Arabidopsis thaliana: one gene and its partners. The protein of the gene in region 2 interacts with the protein of the main gene of each other region in a pairwise test. Each region holds a gene or a part of one and is shown on either strand. Other genes may lie near its edges.

Evidence for each region.
Region 1: the proteins of AT5G07490 (region 2) and RABG3E interact in a protein complementation assay, tested with the Arabidopsis thaliana proteins (one large-scale study listed by BioGRID).
Region 3: the proteins of AT5G07490 (region 2) and AT2G42390 interact in a protein complementation assay, tested with the Arabidopsis thaliana proteins (one large-scale study listed by BioGRID).

The regions. Positions count from the first base shown.
Region 1 is NC_003070.9:18,231,444-18,237,229, forward strand, and holds the start of RABG3E (RAB GTPase homolog G3E), read left to right. Parts: upstream 1-3,280; 5' UTR 3,281-3,398; coding exon 3,399-3,451; intron 3,452-4,093; coding exon 4,094-4,120; intron 4,121-4,288; coding exon 4,289-4,388; intron 4,389-4,793; coding exon 4,794-4,940; intron 4,941-5,028; coding exon 5,029-5,109; intron 5,110-5,196; coding exon 5,197-5,342; intron 5,343-5,458; coding exon 5,459-5,525; 3' UTR 5,526-5,572; exon of another isoform or gene 5,573-5,786. Other genes in the region: AT1G49290 (Rho guanine nucleotide exchange factor), read right to left, coding at 1,165-2,181. UniProt on the Arabidopsis thaliana protein: Intracellular vesicle trafficking and protein transport. May play a role in adaptation to stress by recylcing macromolecules in specific cellular compartments.
Region 2 is NC_003076.8:2,368,526-2,374,012, reverse strand, and holds AT5G07490 (uncharacterized protein), read right to left. Parts: upstream 3,881-5,487; 5' UTR 3,766-3,880; coding exon 3,531-3,765; intron 3,225-3,530; coding exon 3,010-3,224; 3' UTR 2,687-3,009; downstream 1-2,686. Other genes in the region: PEI1 (Zinc finger C-x8-C-x5-C-x3-H type family protein), read right to left, coding at 560-1,297; KUOX1 (KAR-UP oxidoreductase 1), read right to left, coding at 4,459-4,734, 4,844-5,159.
Region 3 is NC_003071.7:17,649,936-17,655,721, reverse strand, and holds AT2G42390 (kinase C substrate, heavy chain-like protein), read left to right. Parts: upstream 1-3,078; 5' UTR 3,079-3,212; coding exon 3,213-3,306; intron 3,307-3,401; coding exon 3,402-3,515; intron 3,516-3,694; coding exon 3,695-3,790; intron 3,791-3,916; coding exon 3,917-4,111; intron 4,112-4,201; coding exon 4,202-4,341; 3' UTR 4,342-4,616; downstream 4,617-5,786. Other genes in the region: VOZ2 (vascular plant one zinc finger protein 2), read left to right, coding at 152-680, 817-1,232; AT2G42395 (uncharacterized protein), read left to right, coding at 1,742-1,819, 1,920-2,156.

The DNA of each region.
Region 1 (5,786 bases), on a different chromosome or scaffold from region 2:
TAGGGTATAAAACAAAATCTTCCTACTCTTTCTAAATCCTTGTTTGGTTTACCCTAAAACTTAATCCTATCATCATTTTATTAAATAAATATAGGTGAAAGAAGATAAGCAACTGCTTCATTCAACATGTGCACAACTTTTTCATAATGTTTTTCATAACCACAGATACCATATGTGTCAAGCTTACTTTCATCTAAGTGTTCTAACCTTGGCAAGATACTATTGATCATTACGATTAACTTTTAGTTTCTAATCATTATTATTACTACGTGTTCTACGTGTTTTATTATTTAAGGTATCCCGACCTTCCATCTAGATGGATGAGTCAATGATAGTTTATTTCTATTTCTAAAACCATTTTGAATCCAAATCCAAAGAAGAAAGGGTAACACCAATATGGTTTCATCGAAGAAGGAAAAGAAAAACCTTGTTCTTGTAGTATATTAATCGGTTTAAAACTGCATTTATTCTAAAACAACACTTCATTTAAAACGGATGGAGTATATCCCACGTAATAACAAAAATTCTAAAAACGACAACGATACAGTTATCTATGAACTAATCATATTTTCATTTTTATTTTGACTAATAATTAAATTGCTACGTCGATTTTAAAAAGTATACAACATAAAAATATACATTTTTAAAACTCAAATATAATTACGATGTAGATTTTGTAATTAAATCATTCAACACAAATTCTAAGTAACATGACCTTAGATAAAACATTTCGGAGCGATGATGCTAATGGAGGATGTTGGCACAACATCTTCTTGATTATTTGACAGACTATACTAAATCAAATATCCTATAACAAAAGACCAAACAAATAAAAAAAACTATCAATTAATTAATAATAATTAAATATATAGAAACTGATAATTAGCCAATCATATATTATTTTTTTATTTTATCTTATGAATTTAATTATACATAGATATACATTTGTTCTTGGAAGTTTTCCGGCGTTATATTTCTCAAACATTGTATGATTCAAAATATATAAAAATAACACCAACTAGTAAAAAAGTAATTGTACTCGCCAATTTAAACATATATTAATGTGTAGCACAATAATAAGATTGACGACACAATTTTATTAGATAAACAACAACAACGACAACATCAACAAGCACAACATGTAAATAAGAAGTTCAGAAACACTCAAAAATGAGTAGAGGATGAAGCTGGATAAGGATTCTTGCGAACGTACTTACGAGCCCAAACATGTTTGCCATCGATGGTGAACTTGTTTCTAAACCTCGCACTCACAATCTCATCCATCATCGACGCACACTGCAGTTTCATCACCATCTTCGCAAACAATGGCTGCTCGTTTGCTTCAACTTCTTGCATCTCTACCGCTTCTATCACTTCCCCGAATCTCCTAGTGAAGTAAACCCTTACTTCCGCTTCCGAGATCGGATACCCTTTTGAAAACGTCAGGAAAACCGTCCGATCATCTGCCGCCAGCACACCTTCCTTCTCTTTTACCTCCATTGTCTCTTTCTCTCTAAGGGCCTTTTCTGTTTCGTCTTCAACTGGAGGATGAGGACGAGGAGGAGGAGGAGAAGCAATTTTTACTTGTTGTACACTTAACCTATTAGATTTTTCTTGTTGGAGACTCAACCTGAGTTTCTTCATATCCTCTATGAATTTCTCTCTCTCTAAAGCCAATTGTTTCTCCCTGTTGATCCTATGAGCTGTCTCGCATAAATCTGAGAATGCTCGAGTGCAAACATCGGTCCAACTCTTTGTCACTCCAGCGCAAAAGTTTTTGCGTTGTTGGTTGATCAATCTGAGAGTAAACTTTCCTCCAGTAATACGTAAGAGCAATGGTATCATGGAGTTATCATCGTTGTCAGCAGCGAAGAACGTTGATGCAAACTCTACGTTGTATAACAAATTTATACACACACCGATTTCGTTAGCCACCGCGTCGACAAAAGCGTTTGGTAACGAGACAAGGTACGCGATTATGTCGCGGGCATAACTGGATTGCTCGAGGAACAAGAGAAAACACATGGCTAGAAACGACTGGTCAACGTCTCGGTTTAGATTGAAGACAAGACGACTGAACAAGGTTCTGTCGATTGTGTGAAAAGCATTGAACTCGTCTCGTGTCACCACAATTGAAGATAAAGGATTGTTTAAGACAGACGGATACAAAGGAGAAGCCATGACTGATTTTTTATCGATATGTGGTGGTGATGGGTGATGTTATCTATGTGATTAGAGAGGGTTTATAAAGAGAATCCATTGAAATGTTGAAAAGGTGTAATCATATTTTTCCTTAATAATTTGTATTTCATTCCTAAAGAGTTTTTGTCCTCGTTCATGTATCTAATTAATTACATACAACAGTCATAACCTTAAAGAGGCTTGGTATCGTTTTGGTGTGAGACATTGTGACCCTTGGATCATCATCATTCTTCACCCATAACCCTTCGATCATTATCGTCATCTATCACCCTTCCCTAACATTTTTGTTTCTTTATGAAGGGAGCCTAAATTATTAAGTATTACTATTTTCTGACGCTTTACTGTTTTTTTTTAAATTAAGATAAAATATACAGGGTCAAACATTTGATAAGGATATTTTAATCTTGTCATTAAGGAAAATAAAATATTTGACTACAGTATAATCTCGATTTAATTAAATATATTAATTGTACATCATTTGATTTCTCCAAAATAAATTATATTTCATAAAGGTTTTGTAGTCAAAAATACTTATTTTTTGCTAATAGTTAACTGTATTTTTATTTATTTTTATAATTTAAGAATTAAATTTTTTATACTTTTTCGTATATTTCCGTACATTTCCTATCTTTTAAGTTATTTACATTGCGTTAATATAAATTAAAAGAAGAAATTTAGTAGTTAGTTAACTATAATTATAAAATGGTAAAAACCGATATTTGATAAAATAATATGTCATTGAACGAATTAGCAAATACGTATCGTAAATAAAATGTGTACGGCTCCGTACTGTTTTGATAAATAAAATAATATCAAACAAAATAATATTATTTATTTAAAAGTAATCACAAATTTTTTATTAAATCTGAAGATAAAATTCTGGATAAACCATAAGATTCTTTACCTAAAATAAAGGTCAAAGTTTTAGTATGAAAATAAATAGAAATGTTCTGTATAAGGTTAATTAGTTGGATATACTGATATACATACATTTTGTTAAAATCCATAAATCATCACCACTAAATATCTTTGAAAATAATATTATAAAAAAAAATGACAGGTCAGCAACAGTATAATCAAGGGGGCAGAGAAGAAAGAAAATAATCGGAAACAGCGTCTTCTCCATAAACCCAGAAAATCGCAGAGAGCTTTCTCTTGTCTTTGTACAGATCTCTCCCATCATCGTTCGTGATTCGATGCCTTCTCGTAGAAGAACTCTCCTCAAAGTCATCATCCTCGGTGATAGCGGGTAAGGAACTCTTTCTCTCTTTACATGTTGATTTAGTGTTTTTTCGATCAGTAAGTAAATACTTTTTCTGGTTTCGAATTTTTGAAGATTGAAGTCGAATTTTGTGTATTACCTTTTGATTGGATTCGATCTGAATTGGTGTGATCTCTTAGGTTGTTGATTTCTGTGTCTTCTGGATTTAATTGTTCTGTAGTTACTTGGAATTGAATTGTGAAGTGATGATTAGAGATTGGATTAGTTCTCGTGGGAAGGTTTGTAATCACATGAAAGATTAGTAGAATTAGTCTCAAGTAATGATGCTGCTATCTTAAGGTCATGTCTGATTTTTCTCTCAGTATGATTCAGATTTGGTGTTCTTGTTGTCTACTGGAAAGATTGAATAGTGAATCTTGTATCATATTCAACATTTGTATTATCCTTCTGTTGGAATTTGCAATCTTTTATAAGAAATCATTCGGTCTAGTGTTCGCAATCAAGTAAGAATTTGTTGTTAACCTGTTTTTTTCTTGGTGAGTGAGAGTGAATATGTTGTGAATCAGATATTGTATGTTGTGATACCTAGTGAAGCTGTTGAACTATGACTCTAAAAGTCTTATTGTTGTGTTTATCGAAGTTAAGAATTTTGAATTTGTGATTTTGCAGGGTTGGGAAGACTTCTTTAATGAATCAGTATCCTAAATTTTCTGTGCATGGAGTCAAGAGGATGCTACTACAATGTTTTTAAAAAAAAATATATGTGAATAAATTCTTTGGTCTCTGTTTTATGAGTAACAATCTTTCCTTTTGTCGAGTTAGATGAGTTTGTGTTTCTGTTTCACTTTAACAACACGCCTTTAGATATGTTAATAAGAAGTTCAGCAACCAGTATAAGGCAACTATTGGGGCTGATTTCTTGACTAAGGAAGTTCAATTTGAAGACCGGCTTTTCACTTTACAGGTTTGTTGTGGCAGCGCTTTATCAGTAAACCTCTTTTATTTTATTTTAGCGCAGTTGGTATAAGTTAGACTCCTTAGTGGCAGAGGAAAACTTGGAATAAAAAAAGTTGATAGTTTATGAGCTTCAGGCTATCTCTGCTTACCTTTGAAGGAAATTAAGCCCTATGTAGTCTTATCTTATACCAATTGACACTTTTGTTCTCTGGAATTTGTTGTGCGTCATTCCAATATTGAAACGCTTCATACTGGTTTCTAATGTGATTCTGCTTGGGCATTATCAGACTTAGGAAACATACAAAAAGGGGTGACCATAAGAGTGTCTTAGATTAAGAATTGATCCCAAGTACTATATATATTGCTCTCTTTGCTTGACCATAAGAGCTAAGGTCTTGCTTTTTTTTTACAGATCTGGGACACAGCTGGTCAAGAAAGGTTTCAGAGTCTTGGTGTTGCGTTTTATCGTGGTGCTGATTGCTGTGTTCTTGTATATGATGTCAACTCCGCAAAATCATTCGAGGATCTCAACAACTGGAGGGAAGAGTTTCTGATCCAGGTATAAATATATATAGATCTTACTCTCTCTTCCTAGTAGATTAAAGAGAAAGAACTTGGCTTGAAATTGCGGTAATTGTGATTTGCAGGCAAGTCCTTCGGATCCAGAGAACTTTCCCTTTGTTGTTATCGGTAATAAGATCGATGTGGATGGTGGAAGCAGCCGGGTGGTATGTATATAATCTCCGTGTAATGAAGAACAACCTTGAAATTTGAAGCCTCTCTGCATTGTTTCCAATCACTTTATGGTTTTTCAGGTATCAGAGAAGAAGGCTCGAGCTTGGTGTGCTTCGAAAGGAAACATTCCATACTATGAAACCTCAGCTAAAGTAGGCACCAATGTAGAAGACGCGTTCCTGTGCATAACTACGAACGCAATGAAGAGTGGAGAAGAGGAAGAAATGTAAGTTAAAAACATACAATCGCAATCATAGGCTTTGTTAATGGTATTTTTCTTTTCGGGTTGATGGGTCTCGACTCGAGATTATGTCTGAAACTTGTTGATGTTCGATCTTTTAGGTACCTACCAGACACGATCGATGTCGGAACCAGCAATCCACAGAGGTCAACAGGATGTGAATGCTGAAAGTGTTCATTTGACCTATGCTCTCTCATCAGTTATCCCACTCTGAGGTTTTTTACCATATTGTAAATCTGTTGTTCTGTGGTACATTAATATTTTAAAAATTTAGAACCCTAATAAATAAATAATTAAAAAGCCGAATTGGGTTGGTCGGTGTTTGTGGGTGGCCGTATATTATGGATCTCTCTTTTTCTCTACACTAACGTTATTTGTTGTCCACTACATTTATGAAAAGACTTAAATGGTTTCTTTTTTCATTCTTGT
Region 2 (5,487 bases):
TACTATTTTCATATTTGGTTTTCTTATACCAAAGCAAATTGATTATAGATGTTTTTAAGATAAATTATCAATTATAAATTTTTTAATTAAAAATTACTTTATTTGTAACTAAATTTTCTTTCAACATCTACATTTTACAAAATAATCGTATATACTGTCAATCAAATTGCTGTTTTATTTTTCTGGTCAACGATCAACAACCCAAACTTTTTATAGCTATATACGGATATACCGAGTTACTGACAAGCGACAACTATAATATCTACGTAACGGTTGCATGACTAGTAGTGACTAAAATACAAACTTAGCCAATTTTCTTTTGAAACTCTGTTTTATAACATTGTTTATACGATAGAAAATACAAAGACTTATAGAAGATCAAGAATCTGTTTACATGCAAAGAGAAGTAACTTCTTTTGCGACATTGCAATAAATCATTACAATTAAATTTACCATATACATGACAAGATCTCTCATCTTGAATCTTGATCTTGTGGATTTTAACAAAATCCACTTTATTTATCGGGTTTCTTTTGTTCTCTGCTTTGATTTCCCAAATTTAATCGACCAACTCTGAGATCCAATCAAAGTGTGACAAATCCAAATCCAAATCGGACGGCTCATAATGATCATCCACAATGCTCATCCGACTCCAACACTTCAACAACACCTTCTCCTCGTTACTATCTAAATCATCTTTCCCGCTTCTCACCGGAGACCGTGACGTGTCGTAACCCTCGTCGTCCATTCTCATCGTCACTCCATCGCCGTTTCCACCACCTCTAGCCCTCACCGGCCTATATGCGTACCTGCACCTGTGCTTTCCTTCAGACTGCCTTAGCTGCTCCGGCGCGTGGGCAAAGAAACACACTTTCCTCTGACACAAGTTCCCGGCGTTACATGCGCGTGTTCGGTAACGCGCCGGGTGGAGCCAGTACTCGAATACGCCATGTGCGAATTCGCATGAGTCGCCACGGTGGCATGCGCCATTTCGGAAAGCCGGGCATGCGACTGCACAGTAAGTGTAACGGCGAGGATCACGGCGTGTGGCTTTCTCGCCACGGTGAGCGTAGGGACACTCCGTCCAGTCGTGGCTACGAGTACGAGGACACCGTTTGATTTTGTAAGCGTACATACGGAACTCATCTGAGCCGTAGATCGCATCGTCGATGTTTGGGATCGAAGGGTCAATCTCGTAAGCTCCTGCGTTCCCAGGTTTGCTTAAAATGTACCCGAAAGTAGAGTATTGCTGCTCTCCGATATCGTAGAATGCCATTGGACTTGCACTTTTCAACATTTTTCCTTGCAATGATCTAAAGAGTTATTTTGGTTTAATAAATGTCTTTCTTTCGAAATTTAAGAAAGGAACAAAAAAAAAACTACAGAGATTTCATCTTAGGAAAATCTTAAGTAATTTAGGAAACTGAAAGGGGAATTTATAGGAAGAAAAACGAAATAAAAAGTCGAATATTTAATAATTTTACCTTTTGCAATGAAAAATGCCAAAACTATATTTTAAAGTTTAAACGTTACAGTTATTTTTTGTTGCATGCACTTATATACTGTGGATACATAATATCTTAACGGCAACGGAAGATGGTGAAAGATAAACTAATATGATTTGAAGATATATTTTTCCAGATGCAGCAGATCGTATGTAAAGTATATACAATTACAGTAATTTACAAAAATCGTCATCATGATCAACGTTTTAGAATATTTCAATATTTGATTATGGTGTTAAATGGTGTTTGATTCGTGAGAGGTAAAGTTAACAGACGTTAATAAGGGCAGCGTTTACGTGAAGGAAGAAGAGTGAAAAACATTTGGAAACACACGAGTGGTAAAAATTGCATGAGAAGGCACACGTGTAAGTGATAATCAGAAGAACTTAAAAATAATAAAGAGGAGAGGAGCACCATCTGGCACACGTGTCGAGAGGAATCCTTTAAATCCTCGACAGCCGTTTCTCTTTTGCAATCTTGGTAGGTTGGTGAGAGCATTGCTAAATCCAAAGACAATAGAAATAGTTTGCAAATGTCATTTCCATAATTTATATTTTAGTCGTAATAAATTTGATCGAAGTAGGAAATGATTATACAGCATACTATTATCACCATAAAAAGCTTATTTATCACTTTTTTATTTAGATCCGAAAAGTTTTGCGTTAAATACATTTTTTCGGAGCGAAAATCAGGCATAAATAAAGTTTTTTCTGTGCACTTGATATTCGTATCGTTTTTTCTTTATGTCCGAAAAGTTTTGCGTTAAATACATTTTCTCGGACCGAAGATAAGACAAAAACAAAACTTTTTCCTCGCATCTACTATTCAAATCGCTTTTTTGTTATATCCGAAAATTGTTACGTTAAATACATCTTTTTAAATTGAGAATCGTACGAAAATAAAGTTTTTTCATCATTTCATATCCGAATCTACTTTTTTTAAAATATGGTTTTAGATTCTAACTGTTTTAGCTATGAATTTTAGATAAAAAAATAATTTCTTTCTAATTTGTAGCTAAAACAGTTGAATCTAAAATCATGTTATAGAAAAATTGGATTCGGATATAATTGTTTTCTTTTTGTTTAGAGCCTTTACACACTAGATTAATGTCTTTATTTTTGGCAGATCTATAAAGTGACGGTTTTTAATCAGAATTTATGCCAGTTTACAAGGTTTTTTTTGGAAAGACGCGTATTCTTTTCTGAAAAGAAAAGAAGCAATTGCATGCACAAATGGTAACGTTTAAACTTTTTTCCCTAGTCTTTTTTAAACATCAAACCGCTGTCCTCCAAGTTGTAGCAGATTAATCAAAAAGAAAGGCGTCAATACAGAGTGAAAGTAGTTCTTGTGGATCTTGAAGATAATGTGAAGAACTAAATATAAAAGTTTAACCAAAGAAACACATCTCCTGATCAACTAACATGCGCAATCAAAATAGAAAGAAAAAAAAGAATAATTCGTTTTGAAAGTTTATCTCGTAAATATTTATCAAACAAAAAGGTGATTAATAAAAACCTTTCATCACTTTCCTTGAAGCTTGTATCCTCCGATTGCGTTTATTAGCCTCGCGTTTTAGTTTATTTTTTGAATGTCCGACCTCTGTGGCGGCTCCTAAGAATCCGGTCTGAGTTCCGTCGCTGTCATTGTCAATGTCTCCTTCGATCGTTAATCCTTCAATCCTAGCCGCAATGGAGTCCCCTTTCACCCCAACATCTACATCTATACGTAAAAAAATGTGCAATCATTTTATTTGACGCTACAAATCTACTTAAGAGTATCAAATATGTATGTACGTTACACATATCTATCATGTGAGTTCCGAATTGATTTTAAAAAAGAAAGATTATGTGTTTAAGGAAACTTGATTCATGGCCTTCTATCACAAGTAAATAACTGGATCAAAAAGACTAGAAGATGCAACATTCTCAAATAGATGGTTTGTTTGCACGCATAGAGAATCGAGCAAATATATATGATAGCCTAAGATCATGAATAGGGACACAATGTGTATAATTGTAAACAAACCTGGATTAGAGAAGAACCAAAGGACGAGAGCACAAGCAAGAAGGACAAAAGGGATTATGTGAACGGCGTTTTCAGCAAACTTGGTACGTGACTTCTCTTTCTTAGTCATCTCTTGGCCAGTGGGATCGTATGGAGCCGGCTCGTCTTCGTCTAAGCCCTTCCATAATCCCTTTGGTGCGGACCAAGGCACCGAGTAATCCTCGGTCACACGGTTCCAGCTCGCGGATCTGTACATATTGGGTCTATATAATCCGATCTTGTTGTGTAGAAGGGATTGGATCAGTGTCTTTACAACGTAACGAATTAAGGCTAAAAGATACTTTTGTGTCAAATCAGATAAAAATCGTAATTCTTTACTAAACAAACACCCCTTAAAAATTTATTAAATATTTGGTGGCGAATTTAGGGCCTACGCCTTTGGTAAATACAGATGGACCAGATCGATGTTAGGACTTTGTCAAAATTCTTGAATGAATCTCACTCGTTATTAATTACGTAGATTTTTTCGAATTATTATATACATATATTTATGTTTTTTTTTAAAGGTTTTTTTTTTTAAAGGGTTTATGTTTTTAAAATATTTATGTTTAAAAAAAAAAACCAATTAACCATGCATATTATATTTCTTTTCTTCTATTTGTAAATAGAAAAATATTTAATAAAAATAATCTAAATTAGACGCGCACATACATATTTGGGTGGTATTTTGATTTCAATGAATATTTGGAAATCGAGAGAATGATATGCTAATTATATATCTTACATTACAATTTAACACGTATATATGTCTCTGATATACATCTCCACGTTATCACAGGTTAAACGCCAAAAGGACATGGACTGAGTCATACCGTGTACCAAACCAAACCGGGCTAAGACCTGATCAGTCCTTTATTCTTATTCTGTATTTATTTTATTGTCCTCTTAATCAGTCCTTGATTCTGAGAGTGTCAATAAACCTATCCCCTTGAGAAATGTCATTTTTGACAAGAAAATCAAGAAAATCGTTAAAGCTGCTCTCTTTATACCGAACCGGATTTTCATCGTTAACCAATTCGCGCGGTACACTCATCTTATCGTCCATACCCAAGCTATGCAAGCTCGCGAGAGAGATTCTCGTCTTCTCTTCATTCAAAGTGACTTTATGAACGATGCTCTTGTATAATCCATTGCTTAGAACTTCCACATGGTCACCAATATGGACCTAAATAAAGAAAAAAGAGCGAAGATGCATGGTGATTACATTTTTTGTTTTGGATCTAAACGTTTCAATTATTTCTGTTTACGTCTAAACCGGTACAGTTGAAACGCACCTTAAGTACACCTGTGACTTGTGGGACACCAACCCAACGGCCAGATCCACCGTGAGCCATTGGATCGAAGATCTTGAGACCGTCCAAGTTCTGTAGAAGGAGGGTGATGCAACTATAGTCTGAATGCGGCGGCAGGCCTAGCGCCGTCTCAGGGTCCGGACAGGGTGGATAGCAGTTAACTGTCATGACTTGCATGCCGTTTTCGTCCATCCGAGACGACAGGTAGTCTCTCCCTAGACCTAGGCTTTCCGTTATTGCTCCCATTAACTCTATCGATAGTTTCCTCACTTCCTCGCAGAACTTTCCCATTTTTTCCCTGAATTATTCACAAAAACGCAAACACGTGTGTGTACTTAAATACGTATAATAGACGATTAGTACTTGCAAAATGTGATAGACATGGTCTAAAAAACGTAAAACAAAACAGAACAGTAATTATGTCTTTCTTAATTATACAATGTAAATCCTCAACCTATTCCATTATATAAAATAAATTAAGATAAAAGATGGTCAAATCATGAAATAGTTTATTTTTAAGTCAGTTCTAAATTTCTTTAATACACAGGCAACAAAACTGTTTTTTTTTTTTTTTTAATCATAAAACCCATAGGTTAGAAAGAAAAACAAAACCGTGTTCTATGTTA
Region 3 (5,786 bases), on a different chromosome or scaffold from region 2:
CTATAATCTTTTGATTGTTGGTTAGATGTTCCTAGACATTTGAACACCGTTGATTCTTTATTCCAGTTCAGCTATGAGTTTTGATCTTTTTCATTCTTGTCTTAGTTTTGATTTTGTTTCCTTATGTACAAGTTCACCTTTTCTATCTCAGGATGCTCTTAATAGCACAGAAACACATGGCCAGCAACTCCATTATGGATATGAAGGGTTTGATCCAAGCATAAACTCCGCTCCTGATTTCCATGACCAAAAACTCAGCAGCAACTTGGATATAACTTCTCAGTATGATTATATTTTCTCCGAAGTGCGTCAGGAACTAGATAACAGCCCTTCCACTAAGCTTGATTCTTCTGAAGAGATTGACAACTTTGCTGAATTTTCTACTCCATCAAGTGTCCGTGTGCCTCCATCTGCTTTTCTGGGACCTAAGTGTGCACTATGGGATTGCACAAGGCCTGCTCAGGGCTCCGAGTGGTACCTGGATTACTGCAGTAACTACCATGGGACTCTAGCTCTGAATGAAGATTCGCCTGGCACAGCACCTGTATTGAGGCCAGGGGGCATCAGTTTGAAAGATAATCTATTGATTGATGCTCTTCGTGCAAAGACTCAGGGTAAGAATGTTGGGATCCCAGTGTGTGAAGGAGCTGTTAACACAAAATGCCCATGGAACGCAGCAGGTGAGAGCATTGTCCCACTAGAGCCCAGTTTTGCTTCTCTCTTTGTTTTAGTTCAACATTTCGTTGCCTCTTTGAAAACAGAAGCCTTATGTGAGTTTCTTACTTTTGCCTGACCCTTAATTTTTTGTACTTGCAGAGCTATTTCATCTTGAACTGGTTGAAGGCGAAACAATTAGAGAGTGGCTCTTCTTTGACAAACCTAGAAGAGCATATGATAGCGGAAACCGAAAGCAAAGATCACTTCCAGATTACAGTGGAAGAGGTTGGCATGAATCAAGAAAACAACTGATGAAGGAACAAGAAGGCCAGAAGAGATCTTACTATATGGATCCACAACCTCCAGGTCCCTTTGAGTGGCATCTCTTTGAATACCAAATCAATGAATCTGACGCATGTGCGTTATATCGCCTAGAACTTAAAGTAGGAAATGGAAAGAAGAGTCCTAAGGGAAAGATTTCAAAAGACCCTCTGGCTGATCTGCAGAAGAAGATGGGACAGTTTAAAGTGGCTTCAGACAAACCCTCTCCTCCAACCAAAGGTCGTAAGGAGTGAAGTTAGCTATTGGTAATCTAACTCAAGACTCCTGCAACAATAGCTCCAAGTTGTCTCCAGCATTCTACAAAAGAGCCATCGCCACCTCTGTTTTCTTTTTTTTTTTCTTTCTGACTGTATTATGAAGAGATAGGATCTTTGATGTGTTGTGTTAATATGGACAAGTCTGGTCTTTGCCCTTTTTCTTGATAGAATCGTAGATGGGTTTGTAAATTTTTGCATTTTATTTTTCTCCTTTAAAACCACAAGGATTTTGTTAACGAAGTGGTGTATTCATATTTCAAAGGTACATTTGCAACACCATTGATTCTTTATTCCAATTCTTATCTACGTGTGTGTGTGAATGAAACTTGAAACCAATACAAGTCACTAATGCTCTCAGATTATGTAATTGGGCTTTACTGGGCCGTTTATAAAATTGGGCTAGAAAAAGGGAGACAGCAGACGACAAGAGCATCCTTGTTCTCTTTAAACCCTAAATTACAAGCAAATCACCAACAGAGAGAGTAATGGCGAAAAATTCTGGTAGCTCGTTTGAAGCAGAGAAATCAGAGGGAAAGTGTGTTACGACGACTACTGAAGCACAAGTAATTCAAAATTCTGGCTGATGAATTATGTATTTGATTTTACGTATTTGTAATTCACTAATTCTCACTGATTCATACAATTTGTGTCGTAAATGAACAGCAAAGTAGTCAACCTGTTTTGAGCAAGGAAGAGGAGAAAGTGAGAGATAGCTACTTGTTCTGCTGTGAAAATTTCTACACTCTTCCTGAGATGATCAATTTCATGAAGGAGATTCATGGTGTAGAACAAACCACTGTGACAAAGGTTTTCAGGGAACTTTTAAAAGGTAGAAAAGCTGAAGCATATCTCAGAGAATCTCAGAAAAGAATGAAGGCAAGAACAACAACAACAACTTGAACAGAGGAGGATGAGGCTTAGGTTGCTCTAATTTGAAATTCTTTGGTTTGGTTTACTGGTTAGTAAGAAATAGACTTGTATTGTCACATTTTTTTATCATATTTTGAGGTCCATTGCTTTGGGTGTATGGACCAGACTAGGACAAATGAATAGGAGATGCAAAAGGGTAATAATGGAGAAGTCAGTCTTGTTGGTCTATTCTTGTCCGAGTCCATGATTTTTAGAGGGAGAACTAGAAGGAGGAACTAAAAGTTGTTTAGGTTAATGGTTTAGGTGCTAAGTGTTGGCTCTGTGTGTTACTTATGACTCGTGGGATCTAATGTCTTGTGAAAAATCACTTGTGAGATAAAATGGACATAGTCTAGAGAAGAAGGTATATAAGAAGAAAAGCAGTCAACTTAACTACAAAATCACAACGGCTCACAACTGTTTTATGTTGTAGAAGTTGGTTGCTTCTTAGAGTGGTTCATTCTTCATTACCAGCTAACCGCAAATAACCGTGACTTGAAGTCTTTCGAATTACACTTCTTTCACTCGTGGTTCAAACTTCTTCTGTTCAAGTTGTTATGCCTTCTCCAGCCATTACTTGATTTCAAAATGGTGTTGATGGTCTCATTCTTGAAGGCTTGGATGTTTCTCAACTTTTTGCTCTTGAACAAGAGCCAAGAGGTGATGGGACTCCGTAGTACAAACACAATTTAAGAACGTTTGAGTAAGAGTTTTGATTCACATTGAAAAAAAAACTTAGAAGAAAAAATGAACCAAACTAAAATAATCAAATTAATTTAGTTTATTAATCAAGAATTAAATCAAGTTTTAATAATAACCTGAATTGTAGATTTTTTTTCTTTTCTTAATAGTCGAATACTGAACACTGTAGTATTAAATGAAAACTCAAAGCCCAATATAATTCAAAGCCCATCGAATCAAATATCTGGCCACTCCACTTATTCTTAACTTGAAACTTAAAAGCCGAAATCGTAAAGAGAGAATCTGGTCGGAATAATCCACTCGAATCTTAAAACGACGTCGGTTTAACCAAATGCGAGTCAACGGATGCTGCTGCAATGCGTCGTGTTGTGTTCGTCACTCGCCGTCGTCGTCATCTCCGTCGCTTCGACCTCTCCCCTCGTTGGTGTTCACCCTTTAGGTTACTTCTTCGATGACTCTTATCTTTATTATATCGACAAATCTGAAAAATGTTCTTGTTCTCTGATTCTTACTTACTTCTTTGTTGTGAGGCAGATGAAAAGTATTTCGACTCAGATGTTATCAAATGCAAAGATGGCTCCAAATCTTTCACAAGAGATCGTCTCAACGACAACTTCTGCGATTGTCTCGACGGCACCGATGAGCCTGGTACACACTTTTTTCTCAATTTAGAATCCAGAGAGCTGAGATGACATGAGACTTTAAATTCTTTCCAGATAAAAAGATTTAGGACTAGAATTGATCGAATCTTATTCTCTTTCACAATTTCAATTATGAAAAATGTGTTCTTGTGAGTAAGTTTCTGAATTTCTGATTTTGCATTACAGGAACTTCGGCATGTCCAAATGGCAAATTTTACTGTAGGAACATTGGAAGTTCTCCAAAGTTCGTTTACTCTTCTCGTGTGAATGATCGAATCTGTGGTCAGTAGTTACTAATGTTCTGAATTCGACTAAATGATTCTCGTTTCAGCTGTCTCTTGCTGTATGCTAGTAATCTACATGTTTTTGTTGGATTGGATAAGCAGCATGACATTGTCTGTTTCTCAGATTGCTGCGATGGAAGCGACGAGTACGAAAGTAGCATTCATTGTCCCAACACTTGTATAATGGGTGGTAACGTTAACTACATCTACAAACCTAGAGCCAACCTTAAATCTATACACTTGCAACTCGGTTCAACGCCTCATCCAAAGGAGTTTTATACTATAGGAAATCTTCAGGACATGGTCAAGAATCTACAAGGTTTTGCAACTTTTCTTGGGAAGCTTATTTGTTTTGTTTGATTGTCTAGCAAACTGATACAAAAACAATTGTTGTTGTTGTTGTTTCCAGGTATGAAGCTTGTTTTCGCTCTTCAGATGGTTTTTATCGGTTTCTTAGTGATCTTATGGATGCTTAGGAGTCGTGCTCGGTCTAAGAGACGACGCTATCTGCTGAAGAATGTACCTCCCATTAATAGATCAGCTAACTAACTCCCTGGAACTTGTATTATACTTTTGTGAAGCTTTTACGTGGAACCTGAGTGTTAAAGCCACATATGTCAAGTGTCATTACTAGCTATACTTATTCAGTGTGAGATTGTTTGTTCCTAGTTACATAATTGTCTTGGTCTTCATGTTTATTAAGCCTTCAGATCCTCAGACCATAGTAGGTACCGATGAGTCTTATCACAAGTAAGATAGTCACATGATCTGCAGATTTTCTAGAAAATGGATGGATTCACAATTTGAATGATCTCATGGTGAATTATTCGACTGATATAAGGTTTTATGAAAATGAACTCTTGTTTGTTTCTCACAGACAAAATCAATATACAAAAAACATTACAAGCCATTGAAGAGAAGAGAGAAATTTACAGTTAAAAAATCCTGAAAAAATGATTTGTAAACTCAAGATTGGAAACATCCACAAGTTGCCTTTGGAACAATTCTAATGGCCCAGTATTTTAGCAGCCGTTTCTTCTTGCTTCTCCACGCTTACCTTCAATCATTGCACTTCTTTCTTCTGCTTCCTTGTGAGTCACTGAAACCTAATTCATCCTCTCTGCATACTCCTGCTTTCTTCTTCTCTAGTTCCTCCTGCAGTGAAACAAATTCACAAACACTTCACTTCTCATTGTTCTCAATCACATTGAAACAGTATCAGCTCTCTATTGCTAAGTTTATTTTACCTCCATTTTCTTGAGTTGCACTTCGACAGCTGCTTTCTTCACTTCTCAACGGAAAACTAGTCACATAGTTTAGTTTAAGGTCACCTCTAACGAGTGAAGCAGACCAAGATTTCGCCAGTGCAGATTCTGTAAGAATTTTCATTCTACTAAAACATAAACAGCAATATGCCAAGCCTTAACACAAAGAGTGTCACAGGTAAACACATACAGAGCAAATGCATGATTCTGTCATAAAGCTTCAAATTTAGCTGTAATATATTACCTCCATGGATGTGTATTGAATCGTAAATAGGCCGCTTCTCTCTCGAAACAAGAACTAGCAATGGTAGCCTGATGTCAACGTATGTTGTATGAATCAAGTCCCCAGTGCAACTTGAAGGTAAAAGAACTTCTTCACACTGTTAGGTCGAAAGGTGAAACTTAAAGCTTATGTACTAGACAAGGCGATGGAACTTCTTCACACTGTTAAGGACAGACTTAGAGGTAAAAGAAAAACTTGAGTAGCTCATGGAGTTTAGCTAGAGGTTGGTCGCTAAGATATTTGTAAACTGAAGATGCTAATGGTTATATTAGGGATGATGATCTTGAAGGAATTATTTGGAAATGACATAACAGATGATGTGTGATTTCCTCCTTTAAAACAAAATCGTTTGGTTTTGATAATCATGAAAATATTTCTATGAGATTACTGTCCGACACACATTTAGAGAAATAATTCACTGACTATATATTCCGTAAATACATGTA